Lepisosteus oculatus: one gene and its partner. Each later gene encodes a partner of the first gene's protein in a complex. Links are inferred from orthologs where the notes say so. Each region holds a gene or a part of one and is shown on either strand. Other genes may lie near its edges.

Region 1 (15,145 bases):
TCTGATTGTTTCACTCTTGACACCAGAGCAGAAATACCATTACAGAGTTTACTGTTGGTATGTTTTTATTTGAAACATTGTTCCTCACTGTAGTAAACTGGAAGCTCCTGTATTTAATATCTGCATGTTACACAAGAACGCATGGGTGGAAATGATTTGTCTCCAGTAAAAAAGTAACAGTTCTGGAAAAAAAAATGAGTCTGTCTTTTATTTAGCACCGAAGGAACACCAGTTAGTACTTGCAGCCTTGGGGCTGCTGTGATAGGAAGGTGCTGGGGCTGGATGGCCCAGATGATGAGTGACTCTAAGAAACCCAAGGAGATTTACATACTCTCGACCAAGACTGCAAGCTGGAGGCTCTGTTCCTAATGAGGTTCATTTTTAATTATTCATTTTGTACCCACCAAATTTGAAATTGCTGATAGTTTCTGTATTTCCTGCCTCCCGATGACTCCCTACAGGGGAGGAGGAGGCGGAGGAAGAACAGTCCGCCCACCCAATGAGCGCTGAGCTATTCACCTGCAATTTTCAAACGCTGGGACTTACAGTGTAAACACATACTGGATGGTTAATTGGCTTCTGGGAAAGTTTGTGTGTCTGTGTTTGTGTGGTGTGCTTTGTGATGGACTGGTGTCCCAATCAGGGTGTTTTCTATCTTGTGCCCATTGCTTGTGAAGGTAGGCTCCAGCTCCCCTGTGACCATGAATTGGATAAAGCAGTTAAAAAATGGATGGATAGATGTTATAATTGTGTATCACACTAGAAAAGTCTTATTTACACTGTGTACAATTTTGGTTACCATCTTATAGGAAAGTGAAAAACAAGCAGATGCACGAAGAAGAATCAGATGTGTTACTGGGCCTAAGAGATAAAGGGACTGGACACAATCATTCAGAATCCTCAAAGGTATTGGCAGAGTCAGCCTGGACTGCATCAGAATGAACAGTGAAACACTGAACAAGAGGACATGAATGGAAAGTGCAGTGAGAACAGGATGCACTTAATTACATAAAGGGTTGTGGGAGTGTGGAACAACCTACCCAGCCACATTCTTGGATGAGATCAATCATCCCTTAACAACCAAATGGGCTAGATGAGCCAAAAACACTTGTTTGTAGATGCTCGTATGCATTCTTCCCAGATGCATTTTTAATGCCATAGGTTTATGGTTCCTTTTTTAAATCTACAGATCCTTATCAGCAGTAACCCAGTGCTGCACAGCCCAGCCTTTACTGCACCCTTTTACTGTTGAAGGAGAGAAGGGGGCAGAACAGTAAGTGCCCAAGAGGCTTGTTCCTTTGTAATTGAGTTGGAGAGGTTAGCCATCAAATGGATCCTGGAGAGACAAGTCACCTTGGAAATCATTACAGAGCTTTTGAACCAGTTGAGCGACTTGCGAAGGACTGTATATCTTGACACCTGTCATTATCAATCACCTGAGAGGTGATCTGATCACTGGAAAGGTTGGAGAAGGTGTGATGGGGAGCCTCTCAGTGGGTGCTTTCACTCCAATCACAGACACAGAAAAATGAAGTAGTCACCTAGGTGGCGACTGGGCCAGCTACCCGCCTTTTCCCATAGCGCCATCCGCAGGCTCAGAGAGGATTCTCCATACAGGCAGGTACATACTATAACAAATACATTACTGATAAATACAGTATATAGTCTGGAAAGGCAATGTAGGTATTTATACAGAGTATCACCTTATGGTTCAGGTGGGTAGCTGCGTCAGCATGCGTTGGCTGCAAAGGAACAAGTAATAGGTTTATTCCATGCTGAAAGGAGAAGAAAAAAAGACAACATTTCGGACACCTGAAGAAGGCTCCACAGCCGAAACGTTGTGTTTTCTTTCTTCTCTTTTCAGCATGGTATCACCTTATGTTGTACATAATTGGTTAATGTTTGCTTAATGGTTATTAACCCTTTAACAGTTGTTGCCTGAGACAGATGAAAGGTTGGCAATGATCCAGCTGGGCTTGGTTCTATTTTGGACCTCAGAGGGAAGAGGCATTTCCCTTATTCCCACCTAAAGTTCAAGGAAGCCTGTTGGCTATGGAATAAAGGAAAACAGTTGGTGTTATTTTTCTCCTCATTTTGAACCCGGTCACTCTTAATATTTGGCACTGTCTGGACTTTTTCAGTTTCCTTTTCGAGTCTTGTTTGGTTTTGTGCACCTGTGCTGATTAGACCCGGCTTGGACTTCATGTCCAGAATCCCAGAGCACCACCTGCAGAACCAAACTTTACGTCAAAGGTTGGCAGAATCAACCAAAGTAATAATAAATATCCCAATGCTGTCCTGAAAACAGCTCGAAGACAGACCAGACACCTTCTCATCTCAGAGGCATATTATACATGGACAGAAGACAATGCTCAGAATGACTGTGTGACTGTTGTTGAGAGAGCCCAAGTATTCTCTTATTTCCTGAAACTTTACTTAATGTTCTTACATTTAAAAGAAGTGTGGGCTGATTTCATTTACTGCACATTGTATTTCAGAGAATTTTGAAAGACTAAATTCCTAATACAGTGCCTCACACAGTTTTCACATTCTGTTGCCTTTAAAGCTTGAAGTTATGACATTTTGAAGTAGGAATTATTATTTGCTATATACACAATCTACTCCACATATCCAATGCAACAAACAAAAACAAGTATATTGATAATATGAAAGGAAAATGAAAAAGTCATGATTGTATAAGTATTCAAATCCTTTGCTGCTGCAAACCTAAATTAAGTTGCACAAAATTACCTTAATGAGCTTCACAATGAATTGTGACCTCTGTCTATGTGGTAGTGGTGGTTCATGTGTTTCAGAACGGAACTGGATCCTCAGAACCAGGACTGATGGAGAGCGCTGGTAAAGTTCAGCACAAGTGGACACACAGCAATCTGGAGAGAGAGGAAACATGGAACAGAGGGAGAAGTAGCACTGCACATCAAAATGAGCCTTCAGGTACAGGAACACAATCCTTTTAGATTGCTACTGTAGCATCCATCCACACGAAAGGGCCACAAAACCAAACCAAGTAATTCTAGAACATTACACATTCAAAGGAAAACACAAAAAGAAAGAAGTAAATAATAATAATAATTCCCTACACTTTTCTGGACACTCTGTAACAATGCGTAGTTCAGGACAATATACAGACGGTATAATCCGGATATAAGTGGACAACAGGGAGGAGACGGCGAGGATCAGGAGGGGTTGACAGACAGGGGGGCGTGACAATGGTGAACTGGTGCTCGGGGCATAGCCAGGGCGAACAAGTTCAAGGAGTCCAGGGGGTAAAATCCGGAGCGAAGTCCAAAAGTCCAAAACCGGGTGACCCAACCGAGACAGGACAAAACAGAGTTAAAAACTGGAACGTTGATCCAGTACAGGGACAGGGAATGAAAACAGCATGACGAGGCCAGGCGCTCTGACCCCCGGACTCAGCTGGGTCAGGACGCCGATAGGAGGCCAATGCCCTCAAGCCGCGGGCGTAGGGCAACTTGATGGTAGTCAAGACGGGCGTCCGTCTTCCAATGCAGAGCCGGGAGTAGCAAGAGCGCCCGGATTTAATAAGGAGGGGCAGGATTGGGGTCAGGTGCACATAATTAGCAAAATAAGAAAGAGCCGGAGTGCCCTTAAGAGGAGGGATTATGATCGTGACATACTCCGTGGCAATGGGGACTCCCCTCCACCACCACCAATGTGTAGCACCACCTGGATAATGCGATGGCAGCCATAGTGCGCACAGTACACTCACCACACAGCAGCTAAATAGATTATATGGAAAACAATGTAAAAGTCATGATTGCATAAATATTCAAACCCTTTACTGTAGAAACCAAAATTAATTAGTTTAAGTGGCCTTTGTCTGAGTGCAATAATAGTGGTTCAGATGATTTCAGAATAAACATACCTGTCTCTGCAAGTTGCAGAACAACTCCATAACAAAGTAGTGTAAAGGCACAGATTGGAAGAGAAGTATAAAAACATTTCAAAGCCTCTTAATTTCTCTGTGAGCATGCAGAGGTCAATCATTAAGAAGTGGAAGACACTTCCCAGATCAGGAAAACTGACCTCTGAACTGAGCAGCCTTGGCAAGGAGGAATCATTGAAGCCAACAGCATCATCAAGAGTTACATAATTCAGTGGCTGACATAAAAGAAAATGTCCATAAGGGAACAATACCCCACCTGCAACACAAATGGATTTGTAACGGACTGAAAAAACATCTCCAATGTCACATGGATTTGGCAACAAAGCACCTGAGTGATACTGCAAACATGAGGCAAAGATTTTTGTGGTCAGACAAGACGAAATTGAAAATGTTGTTGTCCAAGTGCAAAGAGTTACATTTGACACAAACCCAACATCCCTCTGACTTATGAGAGAAAGAGCCCTTGGTCAAGCCTCACTGTACTAATGCTAAAGCCAGAAGTGATTAGAGGATTCTGATTTCAGCTGGCTGAATGACTATGCAGAGCCCAGGATTGCCCAGTTGGGATACAAAGAATCTTGTCCTCATTATCTCATTGACATCCCACACACTCCCTGTGGCTCCTGACGATCTAGGCCAATTCAGGACCAGCCAAGAACTTGGCAGATGCCAGATTTAATGCAGACATGTGCATTACACTTGTAATCCAGGTAAAGATCGAGATCGAAAACACTACTTCAGACAAAATTTAAATGATTTCAGTGTTTATGTTGACACACCCTTCACATCTTCTAGACAGTATGGGGAAGCAATAACAAAAGGAAAAAAATAGGATAAATGGTTAAAGGTGTAGAATTTAAATCAAGGGATGTTGTGTTGAAATTATACAATACAGGGCTATTTATTACTGCTCAATTTGTATCACTCTGGCATCAGCCCAGAGAAGAGGCACCACACACATTCTGGAGTTTAAAGATGACTAACAGGCAGAAATAACTGAATCTCTTCAGTTGTGAATACAATAGACTGCAAGCAAACCTGATCAAAATAGACTCACTTATCTCTAACCTTGATGTTCTTATGTCCCAGACATCTTAGCCTTAGTGCAGAACTGTTATAATGCAATATTGTCACTGTATTGTACTACCATCTGCAGAAGCAACTGTGGATGACTTTCTTAAGTCCTTGAGCCTGATTCAACTTATACACTGCACAACTGGGAAAGTCATGTTTCAACAGCCAGTATAAACTCCAGAACAATTTCTGCAAGAAATAAAAAAAATAAAGATTCTTTCTGAGAAATCTTTTATTTTTGGAGGGTCTGTGAATTGAATGGTGCCCTGTGTTCCATATTCAAAATGAGAACAAATTGGGTAGATCAAATCTACATTCGCACATCCCCCTACTACCAATAACAAAGCCAGCAGTCATTGGAGTGTCTCTGTAATGTTCACTGTTAGAATCTTTTCACCTTTTAGCTCTAATTGGCAGTAATACAGAGAACACACTACAGGGAAGTTTTCATTTAAGATGCAGTAATATAAGGCTATGCACTCATACACAATTAATACTACAAGGTGCCCTGGGGTATGTGGTTTTAAAAACTGGATTAGGAATATGGTTGACACCTTTTCCACAGTTAGCTCCCAGACAAGAACTCTACATCCCCACTAGTTGTCCAAGTCTGATATCCTTTAACGGCTCTATCCTGACGTAAAGTACAGGCTATGGGCTCCATAGATAGTAAACTTATCAGAGGAGATAATAGGCAGAAAAAAAGAGACTTTAAAAGATACTTAACCATGCACTAGGATGCTACTGTTTCTATCTTCTACAGTATCTATTTCTAGCAGGTTATACCATGATCTAAAAATGGGGCCAAAGTTCATTTGTTCTAATACAGTTTTTAGGTGCTGTTTGTTTAAGCAGTCAAATGCCTTTTCCAGGTCTATCCCTAAAATGCACAAGGGGAGGGAAAGGTCCTCTGAGTACAGACAGACATCCCCCCAACAAGGCCAGGTTGTCACTCATTAGGCGTTCTGGTATCCCATAAGTCTGTTTTTCCCCTATTAGTGATGCCTCTGCCATTTGTAGGTAAAGGAAAGGGGTCTTGGACAGGACCTTAGCGTCCAAACCTAACAGAGTGAGAGGTCTCCAGTTCTCAATGTCATTTTTCTCTCCTTACACAAGAGAGATGGTGCTTTCCCTTAGAGAGGCAGGCAACAATCCTAGTGTACCTTGAAGCTTACTGATACAGTTGCCATAGCCAGTGTTTGAGCAGATCCAAACAGGTGCAATGAAATTCGTTAGCTTTCCCCTCCTGTAAGTTTTCCATTGCATGCTTTAGGTCTCCTAGCAATTTCCCATCTTCTTTGCTCAAAAGTTTTCTAGCTTTGAGGTAAAATACTGAATTTCTTCGTTTTTCACTTCCGTATATAAGTTATAAATATGAGTTATAAAGTTTGGAGTAGAAGTTGTGGATAAGGAACAGGATGGACAGGATGGCAGTGACACTTTCCATGACAGACTATGAGCCTCCACTTTAATTGGCTTCTGTAAGAAACTGGTCCTGGGGCGAGTGTGAGTGTGAGTGTGAGTGTGAGTGTGCCCTGTGATGGACTGGTGTCCTGTCCACAGTGTATACCGTCTTGAGCCCATTGCTTTCTGGGATGGGCCCCGACTCCCCTGGGACCCCTGGGATAAAGATGTTAGAAAATGGAGGGATGGATAAACCAGTGGTTCTGTAGGATGGTCCTGGAGGTTTGCTCTCAGCTCTTGTTAGGTCAGCTGGGATCTGTAAAAGTATTAGTCACGTACTCATGTCTGAGTTTCAGAACTGCTGTCAGACAGGAGTGCTGCCTGAAATGTAATGATTGGACATCTTCAGGAGGAAAAATCGCTCATTGTGAGTGTTTCGGATACAGTGTCATTCTCATCTCTGAGAATCGGCTAGTTAGTCACATTGTTTTTAAGGCATATTTGTATGATCTCCATCTGTAGCAACTGAAAATGTATACAATAACCCTTCAAAAATCGACAATTATATATATATACTTATGTAACGTAATTAAAACATTTTGAGATCAGAGAAAACATGCAGAAAAAAAGGTAAAATGCACAGAAACGTTCTTTTCATACAGGTCTAATTTGCAACATGAAATAGAAAACGACAAAGCAGAAAATCCATTCTCTCTCCTCTGGCCGCTCCCGAGTTTAAATGGGCTTGTCATCACTGATGTTTTTGTGTGACTTCAGTTTGTGTGAAAGGATGAGTTTGTGTATGAATCACAATTTGTAATACCGCAGATTCGACCCTTTCCTTCCGCTTCCTCTGAGAACCTGTGCAGGTCTCTCACCAGGTGGCGGCGTTCCCTGCGCGGCGCGAGGTCTGGAGCGCAGTGATTGGAGGGCTGGGCCGGGAGCAAGCTCGCGCAGGAATGCGTCGCCGGGAGAGACGGGCGGCGCGAGGGGGAGGGCTGCGTAGCTACCGAGGGACAGAGAACCCCGAGACAGCACGGGAGACGCGTGCCGCCGCGCCGCGAGATTATCAGAGACGCGAAGTTTCACTCGACGCCGAAAGGAGCTGGTTCCGCGCAGCAGCTGGGCTCGCCTCTTCAGGTAGGTGAGCTTGATTCCCGCGTCTCGCCGTGGCTGCTCGGCGGCGGGGGAAAGTTGACTGCTGCTGAGTCAGTTGAGGTGTCCCCGGCCGCTCCGAGAGGGCTCGGGTTGTGGCTGCGGTCCACGGTGGAGGATGGTTTGAAATACCTGACTTCGCTACAGCCGCCTCTGAGAAAGTGGCTGGGCGCTTTGTGGCCAACCGCAATCGACTTTGGCCTTCCCGCTTGTCCTTGTTGACGAAAAAAAGGCTTCAATTGTAGATGATTCTTCTTATTTTAACGCATTCCGGAGGCAGTAATGGGGTTTGGAAATAACACGGTATCCTAGTGATACGCAATATGGATCAGGCTTCTATAAATAGTCCCCACTGTGTTTTTGTTTGGTGCTGTATTTTTTTTTTAAACTTAATTTTGGCTAGTGTAAACACCTGGACGAAATAAACGATGTACGTAGCGAAGGAACTCGCCAGCGCAGCGATGTATCAGCCCGAAATGACTCCTGAACTGTGTGCGTATGGCTCCTCAAGATGACGGCCGCACGCTGCGCTGCCTCTCCAGCGTGCGGTGAGCGCCGAGGTGGGAGAGAGCGCCGTGCGCCCGGCCGGAGCCGAGGAGCAGCTGCCCGTGGCCTGTGGGGCCCAGCGAGCGCGGCTGCCCAAAGATGGAGGAGAGCGGACTGTCTGAATAAGCGGCGCAAAGCGTTCCCACCAGACCCCACAGTCCCGGCTCCTTCCGGGCCGAGCTGCGTTACAACTCAGTGAAAGTTTTGGACAACTTCTTGGACTGAAGCGTCCAACATCTCTGATGTATTTCAACATGGTGGTTATTGAAGCTGCTTATCGGACCCCAGGATTATTCCGGAGAACCTCAGTCGTGAGGGAGCAATGTCTTACGTGCGCGTCATGATTATTATTACAAGGTAATAATCTGTATCCAGGTGCACAGCTGCCCGAGCGTGTGGGTTGGGCGTTCAGTTCTTGTGAGCAGTGCCCTTCAACTCGGGAGCCCTTCTGGGGCACCTGGAGGAAACTGGACTGGCGGTGCTCCGCACAGCTGGCCACAGGTGTCTGATTGGGGGTATGTTGACCGCAGACAGTTTAATTACGATACACATGAGCGAACTGCAACAGGAAGATTGTTGTATTTTGCCATGATTGCTTGTAAACATCCTAGGTGCGGTGTGAATGCGCATGCGAGTGGACACAGCTCTGATCGGACACAGCGGCAGGGGCTCAACCCTCTGCCTGAGCAGCGCCGTTCTGAAGTTACCTCTCCAGTTTGCGAATAGTTCGTCCCGTGAAGAAAAACATTTTACTGATAAGGATCAAGACAATTACTGTTAACATAAAACAGAAGGTTAAGCCTCCCTAGATTCTTCATCTGGCACCCAGAGTGTGTTGCGAAAAGCGTGTGGAATAGCCCAGCTCTGTTTCTCTCTGCCTGCTCAGTCATGGTGCTTTTTATGCACCGTCCTCATCAAGCAGCACTTTATCAATCGTTTGTAAAGCGTCTCTCCTTTATCTTCGGTCTTGTTTTGTTGGGGGTTTATACCGTTAAATCGTGTATGATCAGTGTTTACGGTTCTGTGTTTTTATTTTCAGGTGGTTTAGTGTTTGCAGAAGCTGTTTTGCAAGTAGTCTCAGCTGTTTTTCTGTTTTTCTCAGCTGACCTTTTTCTTAAAATGCCCGTTATGTGAATGTGAGTACATCAAAGGGGCCACTGTAGCTAGTTTCTCTTTGAGCAGTCTGGTTTTGGAGGTACTTTAACTGAAATCCATTTGCCGTTTAAAGCTATTTATTAGATGTGTTCTGTTTACTGTAACATTTCTAAATACATGACACTAGATGTAGTTTCTTGTCAAATCATGTCTGAATGAACACATTTTCAATATGTGTAAATTTGCAGTTAGAATTAAAATCATTTGATTTCTGTGCTATTCGTGTATCCCAAATAAAGCCTCACATTTTAACAAATGGATAACGAAGCAGAAGTCTGGGTTACTGGAAAAACAATTCTAAAAATGAGTGGCTTGTTCAGTTGGAGGGAGAACATTGACATTTGCCTTTAAACCAGGTAACATTCTTCTTTGCTTCCAGATATGCACTCACAATCCCGGCTTGATAGTCCTGCCATTAGTTTGAATTTTTCTAGGCAAAATGTCAGTTCTGCATTTTGTCTTGGAGGCCTTTGCTTGCCGGAGTGTCTGTCTGGTTGGAGCTGTCCATGCTTGGTGATCAGAGAGCAAAGCTGCTTTTAATTTAGTGGTGGGGGACTGTTTTTCTTGAGCTGAAGGGAGAGCAGCAGAATGGAGGGAGGTCAGAAAACAGATGGAAATGCTGAATGTGGAAATGTCTGGTTTGAAAGCCTCTAGAAAGTGGGGAAGGGGTGCAGAAAGTTTCCTTTTTTCACGAAATGGAATATAAAGACTAACATTAAACACATGCCAGACAGCTGTGCATTCCGCAGCTTACTCTGGGTTCTCTGTTACAAAAATAACACAGCCGAGTATCTGGGAGCAGAAACACAGAGCAAGACAGTTGAAGGGCTCGGGTGAGGCCTGCTTCAGGTATTCCAACAAAAAAGTTTTAATGGCTTTTTATAGTCTGGAATATTTGTTGCTTTTACATGAGCTTCCGTTTAAAAATTATTCTATTACAAATTAGTCATTCGTGTGCCTGATTATTTACGTGGTGTGTCCCGGTGATTAGTGTATGAGCTGCCATGGCTGTGAGTAATGGTCCTGACCTGCATTACAGTGCCTTAGAACAGGGGAAAAAAAGGTGCTGTGCAAAAGGTTCCACACATGATAGGAGGTGGTGGGGGAGGTTAAGGCCTCCAGTTCAAACATGACTTGTATATAATGTGCTGCCTATTGGAGTGAAATCTGGGATTAGGTCAGATCAATAAAGAACAGTGCAGGTTTAGTAAGGCACAGAAAGTAGTTTTTCACATTTGGGGAGTGGTGCCAGCATAGGCGCAGTTAAAAAAATTGTGCCCTGTGTCAGACTAATAGCAATGCAAATTGTTCAGCACTCACAGTTTTATGATATGGTAAATGTAATGAGGATCACCATGAGCATCGAGCTGTTCAACAGCTGCTTTAGCAGTCCAGAGGGGATGTGAAAGTAGCACTAGAATTGTATGAAGATTAAAACAAGTCACTAAAAATGATTGCGGAAGGCTGGCATAGTCCCTGAGCTGCACAAGTGCACATGCAAGATTTGTTTAGCATTCCTAGGCAGCAGCAATGGTGCATAAAGCCCTATGAAGTTCTTCTGCCAGCGCACGTTAACTTGTGAAGAAGACGTGGCTCTCTGAAGTGGAGAGGGTTGTCACTGGTAGAACACAAGTGTGACCTCTGATGGTGCTCTGAGCAGGAGTCAATCATCTCATCATCTCTAAAACTGTGCAGTTCTTTGCAGCTCTTGGTTACTCAGTGGTACTCTTCTTCATGTTGGGAGAGGAGGTGGGAGTTATATGAGGGGTTCGAATCTGTACTGTACTATAGAACACTTCGTAGGTAGGTCCCTTTTCAGGCAATAAAGGCCCATGGGGAATGGGAGGGCAAGGGCCACCATTTTTCTCGACCATCCGACACTGGAGGTGGGGGTGATGCGGCCAGCACCACCCCCCAGCTGGCCTATTACCCCCGGAAGCATTAACCCCCGGTACTCATTTGGAAAGCAGGCTGAGTGGACCTGGGAGCCGTCTGGAAGATATTCAAGCAAGCTACAGTGCTTGACTCTACCTCGGATTGAACTCGGGACCTTCCAGTCAGGAGCGTATTCATACTGTTCGAAATGCTTGCTGATTCCAAGCCTTTAACCTTAATTTGTGCCGATTTTGGTGTCATTTGTGCATTTTACCAATGATGCAATGCTAATTCCATTCAAGGCAAATGCAGTTCTTGACCATTTTAGCAGCAATATGGCTGTGTTAAGGCCACGTTTCCCTCTGCATCAGTCTTTGATAATTTGTGAGGCGTTCTCTTGCTTTTACTAAATTAGTGCTAAAGTCCTTAAATTGGAACTTGTGCCAGGAAAAAAAGGATCACCATGATTTTAAAATATTTTTTACTTTTTTAGTGCTTTTCAGGTATTTTGGTTTTGAAATGTGGAAGATAATTTAAAAAATTTATAAATTCTAACCTTGTTAGTTAATGCCTTTTCCTCAGACATTTTACTATTGTTTTTCTGGGTCCTACACAGACTATTACAGTCAAGTATTTGAACATTAAAACATTCAAAAAATTATATTGTGTAATTAAGTCTCAAACTAAAGAAATAGTTTCTAAGGGAATTGTGTGATACTCTCATTCTGCACATGAAATTGCTGGGGTCTGATTCTGTACCCAGCATCAGAATCTGTGAATGTGCAATAGTAGGTTTTGTAACAGTGTGTGGACTGTGGTCTGAAAGTCCTTGTCTCTTGAGGAGCATTCTGGGTGTCATTTTTAGTAATTAACAGTAATTGGCTTTACTGCCGCTTTAGCCATTTGCCCTTGTTTTTTTAAAAGCACACATTGGGGCATTCTTCCCACTTCCTGTTCCTAATCCCCCAATACTGGCTCTGCTGTTAGCAGTTGCTATGCTGGTTGTCACCCTTCTTGTCCCTGTTTTTGAGGAGCTCAGTAGCAGTGCTGTGAAACCAACCATTTTTTTCTTTGCCATTCTTGAAAACCCAGGCCAGTGTCTGTTGGTCGGTCAGTGCTCAAACTGAAGCTGAACAAAAAGCCATGAAGGAGAAATGCAATTTGAAATACAGGAATGTTGTCGTGAGAAGTGTGGCTTTATAAAGTCTGGATGTATGTATATAGATCAAAGCAGAATGGTTGTTTGCTGCATTAAGTCTCAAGTTTTTTTAAATGTGACATCAGTGGTGTAGATGACTGTACCTGTGTACTCACAGGGTCCTTTATATAAATAAGCACAGCTTTGCCATCTTTTAAGTTGTTCAGTATTCTTTTAGTATGCAGCTTGTAGAAAAGAAACGAGATGTTGATTCCTGACCTTTGGATACCACAAATGTGTGGTGTTCCGGAGCAACAAGTGGTTTACGTTCTGATAAGTTGTGCTTTATGGTTTCTTTAAATATTACACAGAGCTTTAAGTAATTTCATTTTGTGGTTATCTTGTCTGTCAGTTGCAGAAGTTTTCAGTGATGGGGGTTCACATTCAGCATTGATAAGGTTTAAAAATATGATTCTATAAATCTAGATGGAATTAAATAGAAAATGTGGAACAGATTAATTACCAACAAATTTAACACAGAAAAAGGAATGGATTACCCAGCTGTGATATTGCAGAGAGGTATAATGGGCTGTCACAAATTGCAGAAGAAAGCGTGATGATGAAAGACTAAAAAAAGTTAACTTTAGTCTGTATAATTATATAAAACATAGGTATTATGTAACTTATAGCTACAATCATTAAAGCATTTTCAATACTCTCTGGATAAACAAAAAATGATTGCAAAATCAGGATCAGGTGGCCTTTTAGCTAATTCAGCACCACTAAAGCTATGTGGAGGACTTATTCTATACAACAGTGCTTTATAATAATGGGCTCAGATACAGTACTCCTGCCTTATAAATTGAGATGAGTACTGTAGCATTCCTTTACAGGGACTGGATCTTTAAAGTTGGAAGTGTAGTCCTTCATTACGCCTTTTGTGAAAAATGTATTTTCTCCACTTCATCAGAGGAATAATGGCTGTCTTTTTGTTTTTAGTTTTTGCTGAAAAGCTTAGTTGAGCATGTAAGTTACAAGTGCTGTTCGAAAACCACTATGGTCACCTTTTCTGTTGTTCATGCTTTTTAATTATTATAGGTACAGTACTTATCAGCAGATAGAACAGAATGCAAAGCCTGGTTCTGATGCCTTAGAGCTCCCTCTCTTTCCTCTGAGCTGTTGGATCTCCCTAAAGGCAAATTAAGCCTTGAATGGCCTGTCAGAGCAAATACCAACATGCAGGTTGTTGCTTAATAAATTGTAATAAGGAAATACAAGGTAAGAGATGGGCAAGAAGATGATTTTTCCCAGATTCTTGATGTAGCCATGGAGCATCTCAACATTTGTGTTTGTGCCCTTTTCTGTCCTCATTCATGGTGGGCATTTGTCCTGCAATACCTTCAGTATGTTCAGTTTCAGACTTTTGTAGAGATTAAATGGTGCTGGGGGCTTTCTGCAGAGGAGGTGGAGGGGGGAGGGAGGAGAGCTGTGAATATCAGGTTTCAGTCTTCAGTCTTCTGTCTGCTCTGTACTCCAGTCTGGAGACACTGTGGCTGAGCAAGAGAACGTGCAATCACAGCTCTAGCCATACACTGCCGCTCTACCCAACCCCCCTTAGGAAAAAAACATGCTCTTAGTTTTAAATGCATAAAACCGACCTGTTCTTATTCTGTGCAGAGACTGCTCCCGAAAATCTGCAGTCACTTGGGTGCTGATGGGGGGGTGGAGGTTGTAGTTCCATTGTCTAATGCATCTCTGACAGTTTATTTTGATGTTTTTTATTTGAAATGGATAAATTTGTATGAAGTTTTAAAACACATGCCCATGTGTTCTGTGTAATAAGCATGGCATATCAGATTTACCACTGTAGTTGTTGTAAGCTTTTATATGATTGATTTATTTCCATTGATCTTGTTTCGTGTGCATGGTAAAATGTGTAGTTGTACTGAGATTAGATATACTTATGCCAAGTTATTAAAGTTAGGATTTAAAAATTGACTTTGCATATGTCTTTCTGTAATTTTATATAGTTTGGAGAGTCATTTCTAATGCTAGTAAATCATGACAATTTCTGCAGTCTGCAGTATTTCATTATACTTTTATAATCCTTGAAGTAAGAAAAGAATAAAACGTAACTGGAATATTTAATTTCCTACATTTTGTAATGGGGTGTACATTTTTTGAAGATCCAATATAGAACATATTTAAGTGTTTCCATTCTTTTTTTAAATTTGTTTTCTAATTCTGTATATCTCCTAGAATTGCTTTGTTCCAAATATACCTGAAGATGTGGAAAACATTTTAACTTTAAATTTGGCAGCAGCACGTTATTACCTCAATCCATTTATTCATTTTTAATATCTTCATCCAGTTCATCCAAACAATGGATCCAATAGACAACATTAGATTGACTGTTCTTGTGGTTGGAGATTGAATTTAACACTTCTGTCATTATGGTTTTATTATAGTTGGGGAAAATGTGTACCTTAAAATCATGTTCCTCAGGAATGAGAAAATCCTAACAGTGGAGCATACAACCAACCAATTACAGTAGGACAAGTTTTGCTCATTACTTGTGCTGAGTCTTTTACTGTAGCAGTAATATTGTGCTGTTAAGGATAAACCTTTCCTTTTGTTGAACTGTATATACCTTGCATTTTAATAGACGTAGTTGCAAAGCATTAATTTCAGCTGAATTAGTACAATGGAAAATGTAAAGTTTCAAAATAATTGATTTGTTTTGTCTTTTTTGTTCCTCTCAGACGCAAATTGGTAGAGATACTGATTCTGAGTAATGTATCAGAATTTTCCAACAATGGAGTAGCATTAGTGTTTATGGTGTCTGGGGGTAGTTGGGTATAGCGTAATAA
Region 2 (15,282 bases), on another chromosome or scaffold:
GGAGTGTGAGAGATAATCGAGATTATTTGAATAGAATGAAAGCCCCACAAATGAATGGAAATAACAATGACATCATCTTTTCACAAGCAGGGAAATGCTACATGTGCATAATTATCATTAGTAATTTAATATGCCATAACTCTGTTTTTGCCTGCCAGGTCATGCTACACTAATTAGAGATTGAACTGGTCAGTGTATTTGTATTTTGCATGCTTTGAATATTTGAATTTCAGACAGTATTACTCACTAGCTTTGAGCTATCACATTACATCGAAAGGTAGGAATGAATACTGCCACCTTTTTTCTATCTGTCTGTCTGTCTAAGGAATTCTATATGAGTAATTGCCAAGGCTAATGCTGTTTCTTGGCTAAAAGCAGACCTCTGTTCTTGTTCTAAAACACTGCATATCTTACTGTTCTCTGTTCCAGGAATTATTGCCTTTCTGAACAAAAACGGATAATTTTAAACCAGCAGCTGCTGTCTTTAACTTTGTTTCTGTCTGTGCAGTGTATAAAGACACAAGTCACAGCTCCTGCTGGACAGACATGCAGAAAATTGCTTGAAAGGTTACCCAAAACAAAACAACAAAGACAAATGAAGGGGTGTGAATCACCTGGAGTTATTGGGTGTGGTGGTAATTATTAGTGGTTGAGTTTCATTCATAGGCTTCATTAAAGAGACCATTCACAATCCCAGTTCTGTTCTTCCATGCCAATCGCCAGCACATTGGTTTATTTTATCATCTTAAATCTATCGGTTAATACCTGTATATTTCCAGAATAATATTGTGCCTGGCACTGATTGCTAGGAAATGTATCCTCACAAAAATAAACTAAATACAGTCCCCACACTCAGTAATTTAGGGCCTATGCGCAGAGAGCAGTCATGGCGTCAGGAGAAAAAACGGCACTGCAGAATTGCAAACAGCTTCTGGGAGGCGCTGTGGGAAGGAGATCGCGGACCGGCTCTGCAACCTTGGAGGTAATGGCGTCTGGGCAGCTCTGCCAGACGAGGCCAAGGCCTAAAGACCAACGTGAATCTAAAGGAAAAGGCCCAGAAATCCCTCTCTCAGGTTACCCTTCACCCTATAGAAGGTGTCAAGACACATCCTTGTGATAAATAGGATCATCTGAACGGACAACATAAAAGTGCAAGATTGGATCTGCTTTGATTCTTTGGTGATTCGACTTTCTTTTCCTGACCCGAACTCTAACTGTAACCTAAAAGCATCTCCAGACTGGCAGAGGAAATGAAAATCTGTTCTCAGTGACTTATCTGGTAAAATAAAGAAATGAGTCATAACTGGCTAGCAAGTTTTTTTAAAGAGCACACATACAGTTTGTTCATTTTGTCAACTTTAGACACATTGGAAGATTTTTTAGTGCTGTCAGATGCATGTTTACCTTGCCTGAAACCCTTTGAAGACTAGGGGGTAATGTTTAATACCAATATGTATCATCCATCCAACAGAGTATTAGAGTGTAAAGTTTATAAACTCCTTTTGGTTTTTCCTCACTAGTTCTGATGCACTGTGCCATTCTCTAAACCCTGTTTTCAACGTTTGCTCCTGGAACGACTGCTACCATGGGCCTTTTCACTCTTTTCCATTCTTTTCAGAAGGATTAATGCAATTGCATGCCGACTTGAAACATTAGTTTATTATAACTGAGAAAGGGCCCTAAAAATGAGGAAAAGCAAATGACGGAAAATGCTAAGGAACTCTGACAAGATGCTAAGACTTTCACAGCTGCTGAAAAAAAAACACAAACATTTCCATCCCGAATTTAAGATGAATGGAGCCTAACCACTCAAAGCCACAGGCACGCAAAGCAAACACCTGCAGTTCAGGTGGAACAACATGGCTCAGATATAGAGACTTCTTTCTTCTCCAGACTCCCTCTGAAGCCAGAGCCAGAGCAGCAGAACTACAGCAGGCTGCTTGTAGCTTCTTCTTCTTCAGCAGGCAGAGATAACAAGGACCCAGGTGAAACCGAAAATTAGACCCACCTCTTATTGTGCAGATTACAAGTTCCATGACAGATCTATGTCCTCTTCAGGACTCCTGGAAACCTACAGCTTCTAATTTCAATGTTGAGTTGATTAATTTCTTATTTAATTCTGTCTACGTTCATCTCATAAAAACCACCCCAAACAACATGATACAAGTTCAAATCCTTGATACATGGTCTTACAAAACATTTCCAAATAGAATCTGATGAAACACCATGGGCCAAGAGTTTCCAGGGACCAGGACGTAAAAAAACATGTCAGAGAAGAACAGACTAAAGTTTTTTCTAACCTGTGTCCTGAGCACCTGCCAGGTTGGACTGCTCATGAGAGTACAGTGTACCAATGCTGCCTAATGTCTGCTAGCTGCAGAGCTGAAGCTACTCCAATAATTAATCTAAAAACCAAAGGGGACTCTCTCATTTGCAGATAGTTAACACTATCTGCCTAATAGCTAGCACTATTCTCTTCTGCCTGATCATGCCAAGATTTTCATGATTTTAAATGGTGAAGTTTTAACCTCTATCCTAGTAAGAGAAAAATATAAATAAGAAAAGTTAAGATGCTGTAAAAACGCAAGAAAGGTTTCAAATGCGAGGAGGCCATTTGAGCCATCTAGTACTTTAGGTAGCAGCTAATTGACCTGGATATTAATGATAATTTACATGTTACTAACAAAAGGTCCATTGTTGCATGCAGATATATTACTTTTGCTATTTAGATATTATTAATTTTAAGATGCTATTTCTAATAACTATAATTAATCATAAATAAATGGAATGCAGACTAGTTTCAGTTAAAAAATGAACTGAAGTTACTGTTATGTTACTGCTCAGAAGAGTATCTGCTACAGAACATCGTCTTGTTGCCTACTTCAAAATAAACAAAATGTTGCACTGTAAATATGAGATGAAAGACTATACTGTAGTTCTCTATGTGTAATACATTGGATAGCTATAGGATGAGAAATTCTAGAAACTGTCTTAAAGAGGCATTAGTGCTGATCCATCAATTCATTTCCTAACTACTTCATCCAATTCAGAGCCTATCCCAGCAAGCAATGGGTGGAAGGCAGGATACACCCTGGACAGGATGCTAGTCCATCCAGGCCACACACAGACACAGACACACACTAGGGCTCATTTTCCCAGAAGTCAATTAGCCTGCCAGTATGTCTTTGGATAGCAGGAAGAAACTGGGGCTCTTGGAGAAACTCCACACAGATAGCACCCAGGTTTGGAATTGAACCAAGGACCCCAGCACTGCAAGGTATCAAAGCTAACCACTGCTCCACAGTGCTACTGTAACTTACTGGTGCTCATGTTTAAATCAATTTCAGAACATTATAGCTGACCTAAAGGTATTGTTCATGCATTTTCTGTAGAGCCCAATGCACAGCAGTACAGTTACCAGCACTACTTTGTTTCCTTTGGATGTAAAATACAAGAATGACTGGAATCTTCTAGTACTTGAAATCAGAACCATCCCAGCTGATGTTCTGGCAGGTCTGAGGGTCACTCTAGTTAAATGTAACAAACAAAGCATATTCAGCACATTGCAATGAAATTTCCTGATACTCTTAAGCAAGGGTTCAACAAAACATTCCGTGTGAATCAAACATAAATGAAAATCTACATGGGGGGTTCTTTCTTCTGCCAACAGAATGAAACCTCATGTGATTTATTTCCAAAGTTGTCTTTATACAAAGAGTAGTAAGTGTCTAGATCAATCTAATCAATCTTTTGTTGAAATTAACTGTTATGGTATTTCAAGAATTATTTGGATGGGGGTACTGGGACAGATTAATTATCAAATCAGAACCAAATAGGTAAGATGGGTGCAGTGGCCAACTCTTGAATGTGTCCTTTCTTATGTTATTGCTAGCTGTGGAACAGGACACAGTGTATAATATGCAACTTTTTAGAGAGCTAACTACCAAACATGGCTAATTATAGACCCTCAATACTAAGAATTTCACTGCTTAGATGACAAAACCTGGGCTGTTCCACAAGTATGTGATCTTGCTCTGCACCAAACGCATGTCACAGGCTCTGTGGGCAACAATCCCTCTGGCCTTTGCTTCAGCAGAGAAGAACTCCCATCACAGGGGAACTCTTGGGCTCCATCGCCACAGAGAACGGCTGCGCCTCACAAAGATTCCACACCTGACCATTGGAAGCAGGGTGTGTCATTCAACGAGGACTTTAACATCTCTGCCACCTAGTGGATGACCAGAATACTACACTGCTTAGAGGGTGGATATAACATTAAATTCATTTGAAATTTGCAATAGGAGCGCTTTTCAAGAGCGGAATATAAGACAGATAGCAGACAGGAGGAGAATATTCAACCTATCTTGGCCTCATGACATATAAAAATCTATCTTTAAGGTACAGCTCACACAGAATGATAGAGGAGATGGAGAGAAAGGGTTGGAAAATGGGAACAGTGACCCCATTACCTCTGGAGATGTTCACTAGCACAGGGAGGTCGGGAGCAGAGGTGAGAGCTTGTGTCTCAGAGCTGCAGAGCAGGAGTTTGTCAGAGAAAGGGAGAAAAGCAGCCTTTTCGAAGCAAAGGAAGTCTTTCATGAGTGAGCTATTATTTAATATTTACAAACAGACTAACAGTGACAGTAGCAGTTCAACTGTTTTCAGTGAAACTAGACCGTTATGAATGTAAAGGGGACCATGAGAAAGTGAAAAGTATGATGGTCTATTGCAAATTGAAGACTGTTTTAAAAACACATTGAATTGCACAATGAAAAGAGTGAAAGATGTTCATCGAGTAATGCATAATGCAATGCTGGAATAGGTTTCAAGGAAGAGAGAGAATGAATGGATCTAGTGTTGCAATCTTATGTCAGTTTTAAACAAGCAGTAGGAGGTGGCCAGAAACAGAACACTCCTGACATCTATAGGTTATTAATTAATTTACTTTTCTTAGTATTTCTAAAATGTTCACAGCATTTAGAACATTTATATTTGTCACAGAAGTATTCTCTGGAAGGCTGCAATGTAGCAATGCTGAGGGTAGGCAAACACTGGAGAAAGAACTGTAAATATTTGCTCCTAGATAAGTATCAGATCATATCAAGAGCCATCCAAAGTCAGACCAGCACAGCTGTGATCATCAGTGATTTGATTCTCCTTGTCAATGTATCTTAATGGAATATGGCTAATCTAGTGACACTTTATTTGGCATTAAGGCGACCCACTTCAGTAGTCTGCCATCTCATTGCAGGACGTCCTGGTCTGTTCTGCACTGAAACACGGGGGAGATCCAAAACACTTCATATGTGTTAATGGGGAAATTACTCAGAACGCTTAATATTGGAATATGTCTGATAAAAACATAAAATCTGGACAATGCCAAATGTATTAGTAAGATTTTTTTTAAAATCCAGAGAAAGATTGTGATAATGATTATCATACATATTGTCATTTTCATTCTAAAAAATAAAACAAAACATTTAAAGTTAACTTTTTTGAAGAAACACTTTTTTTGTAGTATCTGGTTACATTTTTTAAGCAGTCATTAGTGGGGATGAGATTAAAAAAATATTATTAATCTGATTGAAATCTGATTAAAAAGACTGTCACTATCTTGTTCTGCTGGGATAAATCAAGAGATAAAATAGGGGTCACCCCAGGCATTCTATGTCTCTGTGAGGTAAGAGGGCTTTTTGATAGAAGAAAAAGTGTGATCACTTCAACTGTAAATCTTATCCTGCATTTGCCCCGTAATTGTTATGCACAGTGCTACTGAAACATTCAATCTGCAATTAATTAGTAAATTTCTACAGTGGAAACAGCTTTCTGATTGCCTGTAATTTGTAGGTATATAATCACTTGTGACTGATTCTCACACAGAGAATTCTGAAGGCTTGGCCTGTTCAATGGGCTGCAGTCAGTTTAGAGAGCTGGCAGGAGAGTTCTCTAATTGTTAAAATATGTGGATGAGAGAATAGGAGTCAATTGACAGACTATAAAAATCTCAGTAGGATAAACCACACAAACAAAAAATTCTTAAAAGAAAAATCTGCACCATAACTACAGTACATCATGGCCAAGAGGCGCACTGACTGGTGACAAGCAAGAGTGCTGGATCTTCACTGGAAAGAACTGGAGAAGAAGAGGGGACACCTTACTGAGAAAACAAGCTTGACGTCTCCCAACAAGCTTAGTAATTCTATTACAGCAGCTCTTGAGCGCTAAGTGAGCTTATTGTTTTGAGGTATTCTAATTTCAGTTCTGCAGAGTTAAGTCAATGAACATTTAAATAAAAGCAGAAAAAATCACCCCCCTCCCCCCAAAAAAGCCAACATATGTTGTTTTACACAAACCACAGGAAACACGACAACCTTCCAATTTTCAACAGTGATTTCTGTCAATTAATTATTTCTACTGCACAGTCTGTTATATTTATGACATGACTTAAAACCGGAGACTTTATAGCGCTGTAAATCCATGCAGCAGTGGTTGCCCCTGGGAGAGAACCCAAGCAGGGTAATGAGGGAGTGAGAGACAATGTCAGGACTCTGAACCTGGGCCGCTGAACGTACAAATGGCATCACGGAGCTCAGAGCCTGACATGTCAGGCAGACCAGAGTATTCCAGCACCGATCAGATATCCCCGTGCCTCATATGTCTGTCCTAATGTGTGTAGGGAATGGATTTCTGGTCTCAGTTTTTCTTTCAATTATTTTCTCTTTCATGTAAAATAATAAGCATACTACTTTTTACATGGAGGTGTCTCCCATGTCAAGTCAGGTTGTTTGACTGTTCAGAGTGTATTTGGTATTGACACACTTTCCTCTGACTTGCATCAGCTGAGGTACAGCATTGGCAGGCTGACTGAGTTTTTTTTTTGCTTTGACAGATGAGCACAAAATCCTGAGGGCCCTGTTTACCAGTAATGTGAGCAAATAGAAGCCGAATATCCCGCGAATTAGGTTGAGAGAAAAAGGTGTTTAAAACACATGATGGCAATCAGGCTTCCTGAAAAGATGCATTTTTTTTCTGTTCACTTCTCATAAAAAATGTAAAAATTTGCGGCTACAAAGTCTAACCTTAAAATTATATTTCATCCCAATGTTTCAAATTAAATAGTCTAAGTGGGACATAGTTACAGCATATAGGGCAATATATTATTGTACCTGCACTTTCCATTTATAACTTAAAAGATTTACAGTTTAGAAATTTAAAACGCACATTTCTGTCTTAGCCTCTTAACCCTTTTGTTTAAAGAAATATTATGGACTTAAGTAAACGGCTTCTTTAAATGACATAATGCAAAGAATTGGTCTTAGTGGCTTTTTTCATGTAGAGCATGACTCATAGCTGTGGAAAGAGCAAAGAAGATTTTAAAAGAAATATATTGCACTTAAATTAGTTTGGACAGCATGACATCAGAGAGTAATTAAATTGGTTTTTGTTGGAATTCCGTTTCCAATTCCTGAGTTCAGGTTTGTAAAGATTTCTGAGCACCTGCAGGTTTCTGTGTGTGAAATATTTTCACTGGACGACGTTCAAAACTTTGGAGAAAAAAAAAAGACTTTTTTTTCAGCGGCAGCATTACGCCATTCTCCCCTCTTGGAAAAACTGGGATTTAAACAAGTCTCCTACAAGATATCGGGCAGAATTACAGGAGTTTAAGGGAAGTCGAGCTTCTCCTTTCAATGCAAACCGTTTCCCCGGATTGCTCTCTCTTTGGAAAACAGAACAAGGAGCAAGCGATTCGTATCACTATGGTTCTGAATAGCAGAGCTGGAGAAAACGGTTTGCTAAGCTTGATTGTCCAAAGAAAACTTAATTCGGGTCTGCTGTTGCGCTTTTGCAAGCTCGTTCATGTTTTCTTATTTAAGACTGGAAGAACCTGCGGAGATTTCTTTCTCGCTGAGATTCAAAGGAAGTTCAGAGGATGAAAATACTGAAACGTCTCCCTCTTTTATTGGGGTGCTGGACTGTGCTATACCTGGATTTCGTCCCAGCGGCCTTGAGCCCGACTGGGACCGCACACAGTGCATCTGTGAGCAGGCTAGAAGGTCGCAGGACTGGTGGAAAGGAAGGAGCCCCTCTGTCTAGGGGTCCCGCTAATTTGATGGTGGGGAGTCATGGTTCAGGGACGCGAGCACCCTCGAACGGAGCTCGGATCACTCGAATCAGATCTGGACAGCCACTGATAAAGGGCGACACGTCCAAGGCGAAAGCCGCGACTGCAGTGACAGCACACGGCGTCCCAGGAGGGGCAATTCATTTAGGTAGAAAAGAAGCGGCTCGCTCCTGGGTGCCCGCGCAAATCGCGCTCACTGGCACCAGCTCGCCGCTGGGGAGCAAAACACGGGCAGTCCCCGAAACTGTCACGGTTCCTGCGAGAACTGGGCAACAGCACAAAGCGGGTAGTCGAAAGCAAGGCTCCCCGCTAGCGCAGAGGAGCTCCAAAGCGCTGCCTGGCCAGTCTGCGAGCCCCAGGGACTTCTCCACGCACCCCCTGGTGACGCCCCACGACTACATGCTGTCCCTGTACTGGACACTGTCCACGGGCGAGGTGAACAGCAGCGCGCTCCAGGAGGCAGGGATAGCCAACACCATCACCAGCTTCGTGGACAAGGGCCAAGGTAAAACAATGTATACATGTTCTACTGTGACTGCAGCTGCTGCTGCTACTGCTGCTGTTAATAATACATTGTGCAGGTATGTGTGCTTATGTAACGAAATTAAGATACATTCAGTTTTAAAAACATACTGTAGTTGAACTTGAACATCAGAATTTACAGGTATTTTCTAAGACTTATTTTAATTCTAACGGAAGACATTTAATATCGACTTGCTATTTCTTGATTCCAAAGAGCAGCTGTCCGATGAAATCATCATCATCATCCAGTATCAGTTTAATTATTGCGACAACCCTTCATGCTTAGAAATGAGCTTCATCATCACTACATCAATGTGTGTCCTTCTGTTAATACAGTGGGAGACTGATATTGAGAAACGTTGCCATATTCCAATAAAATCAGCAGTATCAATGATGCTATTTATTGTAGATTTTTAATATACAAGTTAAAGGTAACGAATTTTGGGGCAATGAAATATAAATATACATGATGGTCCTTAACTAATAATTAAACAGTCTGGACGAAAACATTCATTATTCTGTGGAGATTACCGTTTACACTGACTTGAGATTGTCCACTACAGGACAGAGACTGTATTGGGGTTCCGTTCGCAGAGGTGATTTGAATTGCATTTACTTTCCAGACACAAAGGCTCTCAGGTCAGATCCTGCGGCTTGTTCAAATCTGCACCGCATTACCGACTCAACAGGGTGAACGAGTGTTTAATTGAAAAATTGGTATCGCCAACACTATTTCTGCAATAAATACAGCACACCGGAAACTTCGAAAGTACCTTTAGTTTATATTATAGATTCTGCCTTTGATAAACACGTTGTTCATTCATAAATTTGGCCGCGGATGTGGACGTTTTTAGTCTTACGATAAGTCTGTTCGTAGCGGTTCTGCTGTAAAGCTTTGAGTCACGGAGCCGAGCGCTACTGAAGCGTCTTGGACTGCGATTGCTTCACCCTTATACGTCCCTGTTTCAGTATTATGCATAATTACACAGCTAGCGTGGTTAACCAGTACGCAAGCCAACATCTTGTTGGACCTGAGCTAATGTTTTTCCTTCTTTTTCGTAATTGTATTACAGTAAATTGGTGCTGCTTACTGTAACTGGCTGAAGTCAAAGAACTGTCAATTTATTGCCTCCACATGCAATTTAATTTAAACAACTCAGGAAGGTTCCGCTACAATTCCCTTCGTATAGAATGGCATGAAGGGAACTTGGGCCAAAACTGAGAAAGCACGCTTCTCTAGAGACCCTCAATCGCAGAGTTAAACCCGCATTTTGTACCTAATCCCTCTGATAGAACCATTTAATGTTCGACCGTCAGTAGCGTACATTAAATAAACTGCACAGGGCTCACATTTTCCCAGCCTCTGACAAGCGATGACAAGCTACGTAGTTTGCCAAACCTTTGGTGGTGTCTTGTGGAAAACAAACGTCCGTGTATCAATGAAAACAGAAATGCTTGTCAACGAATGGCTTTTCATGAAAAATGAGTGAATTTCAGGTTTTTATTCACTGTTGGGTTCGGACAGAAACTTGTTTCAGATTTCCACAGTTGTTTCTTACCGTCCCCAAAGCATCGCCGCTCTTCTGGCACGCACCCCACTCTCTCGCACACATATGTATATAATATATGTGATCGTTTTTAAAACACACCGCAGCCCTCCAGAGATCCCGAGTGCTTGTTCTTCATTATTTGAGGCAGAAATGCTCCTCCAGCACTCGAACAGCCCCCTGCCCCCAGGTGCTGCTTCCAGGTGACACAATGTCACTCCTGTGGCCCTTGCTGGCTCAGTGTCTGGCCTTTGAAAACTAAACAAACATATCGCATTGGGGTAGGTGGCCTCCTTAATGTATTGTTTTTTCTTTACCAAGTAAAACAATTTAAAAGAATGTTAAACAATGTTTGTTTAATATTCATAGCCGTTAAATGTTTACATTTCGAGTGGTTAATGTAGTTTTAATTTGAGCTGTATTTATACAAGTTGTCTTTTGTACATTTTAGGCCTGACCTTTCAGTGTGTGACTAAATCTTGCATTGTGTTAGACCATAAATCTCAAACTCAGAAAAAGACGAACTGCTCAAATGTTCTAAATGTCATGAAGGAAAAGTTTGTTCTGTGTTAATAGCATACATATGAAGCCATTTATCAATTTGTATTGTATTTTGTATGTATGCATATGTTTTGTGGTAGATTTCTGGCATGATATTTATAATTTTTTGCTTGTGGTGCTGTTGGAAAAAATAACAAATATAAAGTGTGTCGTATTTAATCTTGTAATAAACTCACAGTTGTTTGCTGGGTGGTATGAATGATGAGATATGACTCCTTGAAATACTATACATTCTTCCCTCACTTCAACTTAATTTAAGCTTTACTGTATGTTTGCATCACTGTGCATTGTCCAAGTTATAGACCGTAAGTCCAAATGTATTCCAGAGAAACACTGATGAACAGCAAATACAGAGCGTAAGGGAGCTGAATATGTACACATAGATTCATTCTGCTGTATGAGTTCAGACACATAAAACAATCAATTTGTGTCAAAAATGTTTTTATTGTAATGCTCTCTTATTCTATAATGATTTCTAGCTCTGCCTGGTAAGCCTATCAGTCACATAGACTTCACCTAGTTTCTTTTCAGTATGTTGCTGATTACCCAAAATGTTTAAACCTAGAGAAAACAAGGAGATGGTGAATGTCCAGTCTGATCCTCAAGAATCCAAATACTTCAGTGTATCACTGGCCATTGCTTTAACATGATGTCATCGATTTTAATTGTTTGACCAGTTTAAAAAGTAATTTCTTAACTTCATTTTTTAATCTCTTTGAGTTACTAACTTTTAAGTTAAAAAAAAGTAGTTGTGCTTTTCCTTGTCAAGATTGCAGTCTGGCAGACTTTCCTCTTTGCTGGTCATAAAGAGGAAAAAGAGCCATAGAAGCAAATGACTACTAGTACTGAGTTTTAGTGTATCCCCATTGATTAAATGTCCTACATTTCTTACACGTTAATCTCTTTGCCTCTTGCAGATGACCGCCTCCCTCTGTTGAGGAGACAAAAGTACTACTTTAACATCAGCTCCCTGGAGAAGGAGGGCGTGCTGGGAGCTGAGCTGCGCATTCTTCGGAAGAGGCCGTCTGACCCAAGGAAGGCTCGATCAACAGGGGGGCTGTTCACTCTCAAGATCTTCACCTGTCAGACTGGCAAACAGAAGGCATCTCTTCTCCACTCTCGCAGCATTGAGGACCGTGATGTGCCTAAGTGGGAGGTGTTTGATATCTGGAAACTGTTCCGGAACTTCAAGAACGTGGTCCAGCTCTGCTTCGAGCTGGAGGCCTCTGACAGGGGTCGGCCGGTGGACTTGAGGAGCCTGGGGTTCAGCCGGCTCGGCAGGCAGGCCAAGGAGAAAGCTTTCTTCCTGGTCTTCAGCAGGACCAAGAGACGAGACCTGTTTTACAATGAGATCAAAGCTAGGTCCGGCCATGACAACAAGACAGTGTACGAGTACCTGGTCACCCAGAGGAGGATGAGAAGAGCCCCCGCCTCCCGCGCCAAGAAGCTGACGAAGAACCCCAAGCCGCGCTGCAACAGGAAGCCCCTTCATGTCAACTTCAAGGAGATGGGCTGGGATGACTGGATTATTGCCCCGCTGGAGTATGAGGCCTATCACTGTGACGGGGTGTGTGACTTCCCCATTCGCTCCCACCTGGAGCCCACCAACCACGCCATCATCCAGACACTCATGAACTCAATGGACCCCGACTCCACTCCCCCTACCTGCTGTGTGCCCACCCGACTGAGTCCCATCAGCATCCTCTACATTGACTCTGCCAACAATGTGGTCTACAAACAGTACGAGGACATGGTTGTGGAGACGTGTGGCTGCAGGTAGCAACGCCAGCCCTGTCAGGGAACATGCTCCCTTTCACCCAGGACTCAGAAAGACTGAGAGAAGCGATTGCTGGCTTGTAGCTGTCGTCAGGGCACCACACCATGTGTCTTGAGCGCCTTGGATAGCTTTCAGGAAGTTAAATAATTCCATAAAAATGAGGGCATACCAAAGTCAAAATGTAACCCAAAGTGTTTCAGAATGTTTCCTTTTGAATGTGTTTCTCTGGCCCATCGGGATAAGCACAGTAACTGGAATGTTTCATATTTCCCAGACCAAGAAGTGGCTGAGTAACTTTGTATTCTTTTCTGAATCAGCCGTGTTAGCCTCCTCCTATTCCTGTGCAGACAAGGACTTTCTGATACTCTTTTGAACTGATCAAATTAAGAATCTTAATACCCTAACAGGAATAACCATTGGCTGTTGCAACCACACATGCTTTTGCGGTTACAATCCTGCAAATCTGCCCTCAGTCCTTATGTTGAAAACAGTAGATAACAGTATTGTAGAGCATTGTTAATACAACATATATTAGAAGATGTAAACTTCAGAATTCAATGTTTATATATTTATACTTGTTTGAATGAAATGAAGTGATATTTTAATACAGATTACAGACCATCATTTTAATAAAAAGTGTTGTCCTTGTAAAATTTACAATGTGATCAGCTCACCGGTGACATTCTTGCAATGCAAATATGGATGAAACTGTTCCTATGGAAGATCTCCTGGTCTTCTCACACAGTGTGGACCCTCCTGCTCTGTCTTGTAGGTCAACACTGATCTGTCTTGTTTGTTTTCTCTGAGCTGCTGTTAAATATTGTCTCCCTTCTCAAAATTGTCAGCTGGTTTCTTTTTTCTTTTTTACAATGTTACACAACAAGGAAAGAATAAAAATATTGCAGTAGTTGTTAATGAATTTTCCTTATGTGAGTTTAATAATTGTGTACTAGTATGCCCTAAATCCAAGTGTTTTTTTGACAGTTCAATAACCATATTATTATTGCTGTTGGCTGCATTTTGGAAGAGTTTGTGGGTTTTTTTTCATTTACAACGACACAAGTTGATTCACTAAAATACATGTTTTCCAGTAAATTCTAAATACAACAAATGCAATTGTTGATATGTTATTGCATTTTTACAGCTTTTTTACTTCACAGTTACTCTAGTAAATTGCATGAAACTCACTTACGTATGAGAATCCTACTGGGTTTAGTATAGGAATGTCTTTAGTCATAGTGCAAAAGATGCCTGAGTTGTGAAGTGCCTTCCCCATCCCTTTCTCCATAGCAGAAATTCTCCCACCGGCCTAACAGTATATTGATATGGAGAACATTTCTCTCACAGCTTTGTGGTTGAGAAGGACAAGACATCCACATTTGACATCTGTGGCTGTTGGGTGAGATGTGCTTTATTCTGCTAAATTGCTTGTATTGCCTTCCCTGTTCAGTGCCCTATGGACACTAGGTTTGGACACTGGTCCCAGAGGTTGTGAAGACTTAGGACATTGGATTCCCTGGGAAACAGAAAGCTATAAGAACATAATAAACTTTAGCCTGGCTCATCCAGCTCTTTTGCAGCCAGGAGACTGAACCTAGTTCAAGAAGACTATGAGCAAGTTAGCGGTCCAGTTTCCCTGCTTAGATAATTAATACAAACTGATTAATCAGAATAGGGAACTGCTCTTCAGTGGATCCTGGGAACTGTTTTAGAAAGATAATATCCATATAAAATGAAAAGATAAGTCAATTATTTAGTATAATGGCAAACCCAGAGTTGAATTAGAATTAGGGCTAGGAAATAATGTAGTCTTAGGCTTACTATATGTGATATGGTAAAATGTTAAAAGGCAAGTGTTAACTATTTAAGAATTCTGATTGATGATGTCTTAGGATAAAATCTGAGAACATTTTGAAAAAAAAAGTGTTAGTATTGGTGAGTGTAAAGAATTCAGGGGGAGTACATTCGATGGAGCGCATAAAATACATGTATTAAGTGTTAATTTATGTTAAGATACCTCAAGGTTACTTTATTAATAACTTGTAGTAAAACTCCAAACCCAAACTTAGATCACTGGACAGTGAGACTATCTAAAATATTTAATTTTCTGTGTACTTTGCAGTTTGAACCGATTTAAGAATTGGAATTGAATTTGTGCATTCCCGATGGAAAAAAATGTTTAATCGGATTATACTCTCTGGACTGTATAAGGTTGTTTTCGTGATCACAGAAAGGTCTGCAGCTTAAGCAGAAACATGAATTGTTTACAGGATTATGTTCCAGTGTCACTGTTAGCTGCCCTGGATTGTGGCAGAGTGTCAGAGCAAATCAAATGCTACAGGATCAAGTGGTATGAAAGTAAAGTCTTGTATTTCCAGATGTAATCAGAAACATATGCATGATCCCATTCAAAGAGCCTTTAAGAGTAACCTAATTTACTGCTAATTGCAGCTTGACAATGGCTGTTGGAGGGAGAGCAGTGCTGCCTGCTCTCTGGGGCACAGTGATGGGCAGCCACTGTCCTGAAAGCACACCTCCGGCCTGCATTCTGTGCTGTGGTTCCTGCAGTTTAGCCTCCTTGTCGGGTTTATTATCAGATCTGGCTTTATTTTCCATGACCGATGTTTAACATTCTGTAAATTCAGGCTAGAATTTCCTTGACAGATGTTGGAATTTTATCATGGGACAGGCCAAAGCTTGGAAAAAATCTATTAAATATAATTGCTATCTGGCAGTGAGCATGACACCTACAT

What was found.
Region 2: the proteins of bmpr1aa (region 1) and gdf5 are in contact, whole or in part, in a crystal structure (PDB 3QB4), measured with the Homo sapiens proteins. The link is inferred for Lepisosteus oculatus from reciprocal best matches to the Homo sapiens genes BMPR1A and GDF5. Residues at the interface, in NP_001393490.1 of Homo sapiens: Gly65, His66, Cys67, Pro68, Ile77, Thr78, Phe83, Ile85, Glu87, Cys100, Met101, Lys102, Glu104, Gly105, Phe108, Gln109, Asp112, Ser113, Lys115, Ala116, Gln117, Arg120, Ile122; in NP_000548.2 of Homo sapiens: Arg399, Phe435, Pro436, Leu437, Ser439, His440, Glu442, Pro443, Asn445, Val448, Ile449, Leu452, Ser455, Met456, Pro458.

Annotation. Positions count from the first base shown.
Region 1 is NC_090699.1:46,326,113-46,341,257, forward strand, and holds the start of bmpr1aa (bone morphogenetic protein receptor, type IAa), read left to right. Parts: upstream 1-7,330; 5' UTR 7,331-7,546; intron 7,547-7,616; exon of another isoform or gene 7,617-8,464; intron 8,465-8,598; exon of another isoform or gene 8,599-8,622; intron 8,623-15,145. UniProt on the Homo sapiens protein: On ligand binding, forms a receptor complex consisting of two type II and two type I transmembrane serine/threonine kinases.
Region 2 is NC_090711.1:207,769-223,050, reverse strand, and holds gdf5 (growth/differentiation factor 5), read left to right. Parts: upstream 1-8,309; 5' UTR 8,310-8,521; coding exon 8,522-8,627; intron 8,628-11,669; coding exon 11,670-12,532; 3' UTR 12,533-13,636; downstream 13,637-15,282. UniProt on the Homo sapiens protein: Growth factor involved in bone and cartilage formation. During cartilage development regulates differentiation of chondrogenic tissue through two pathways.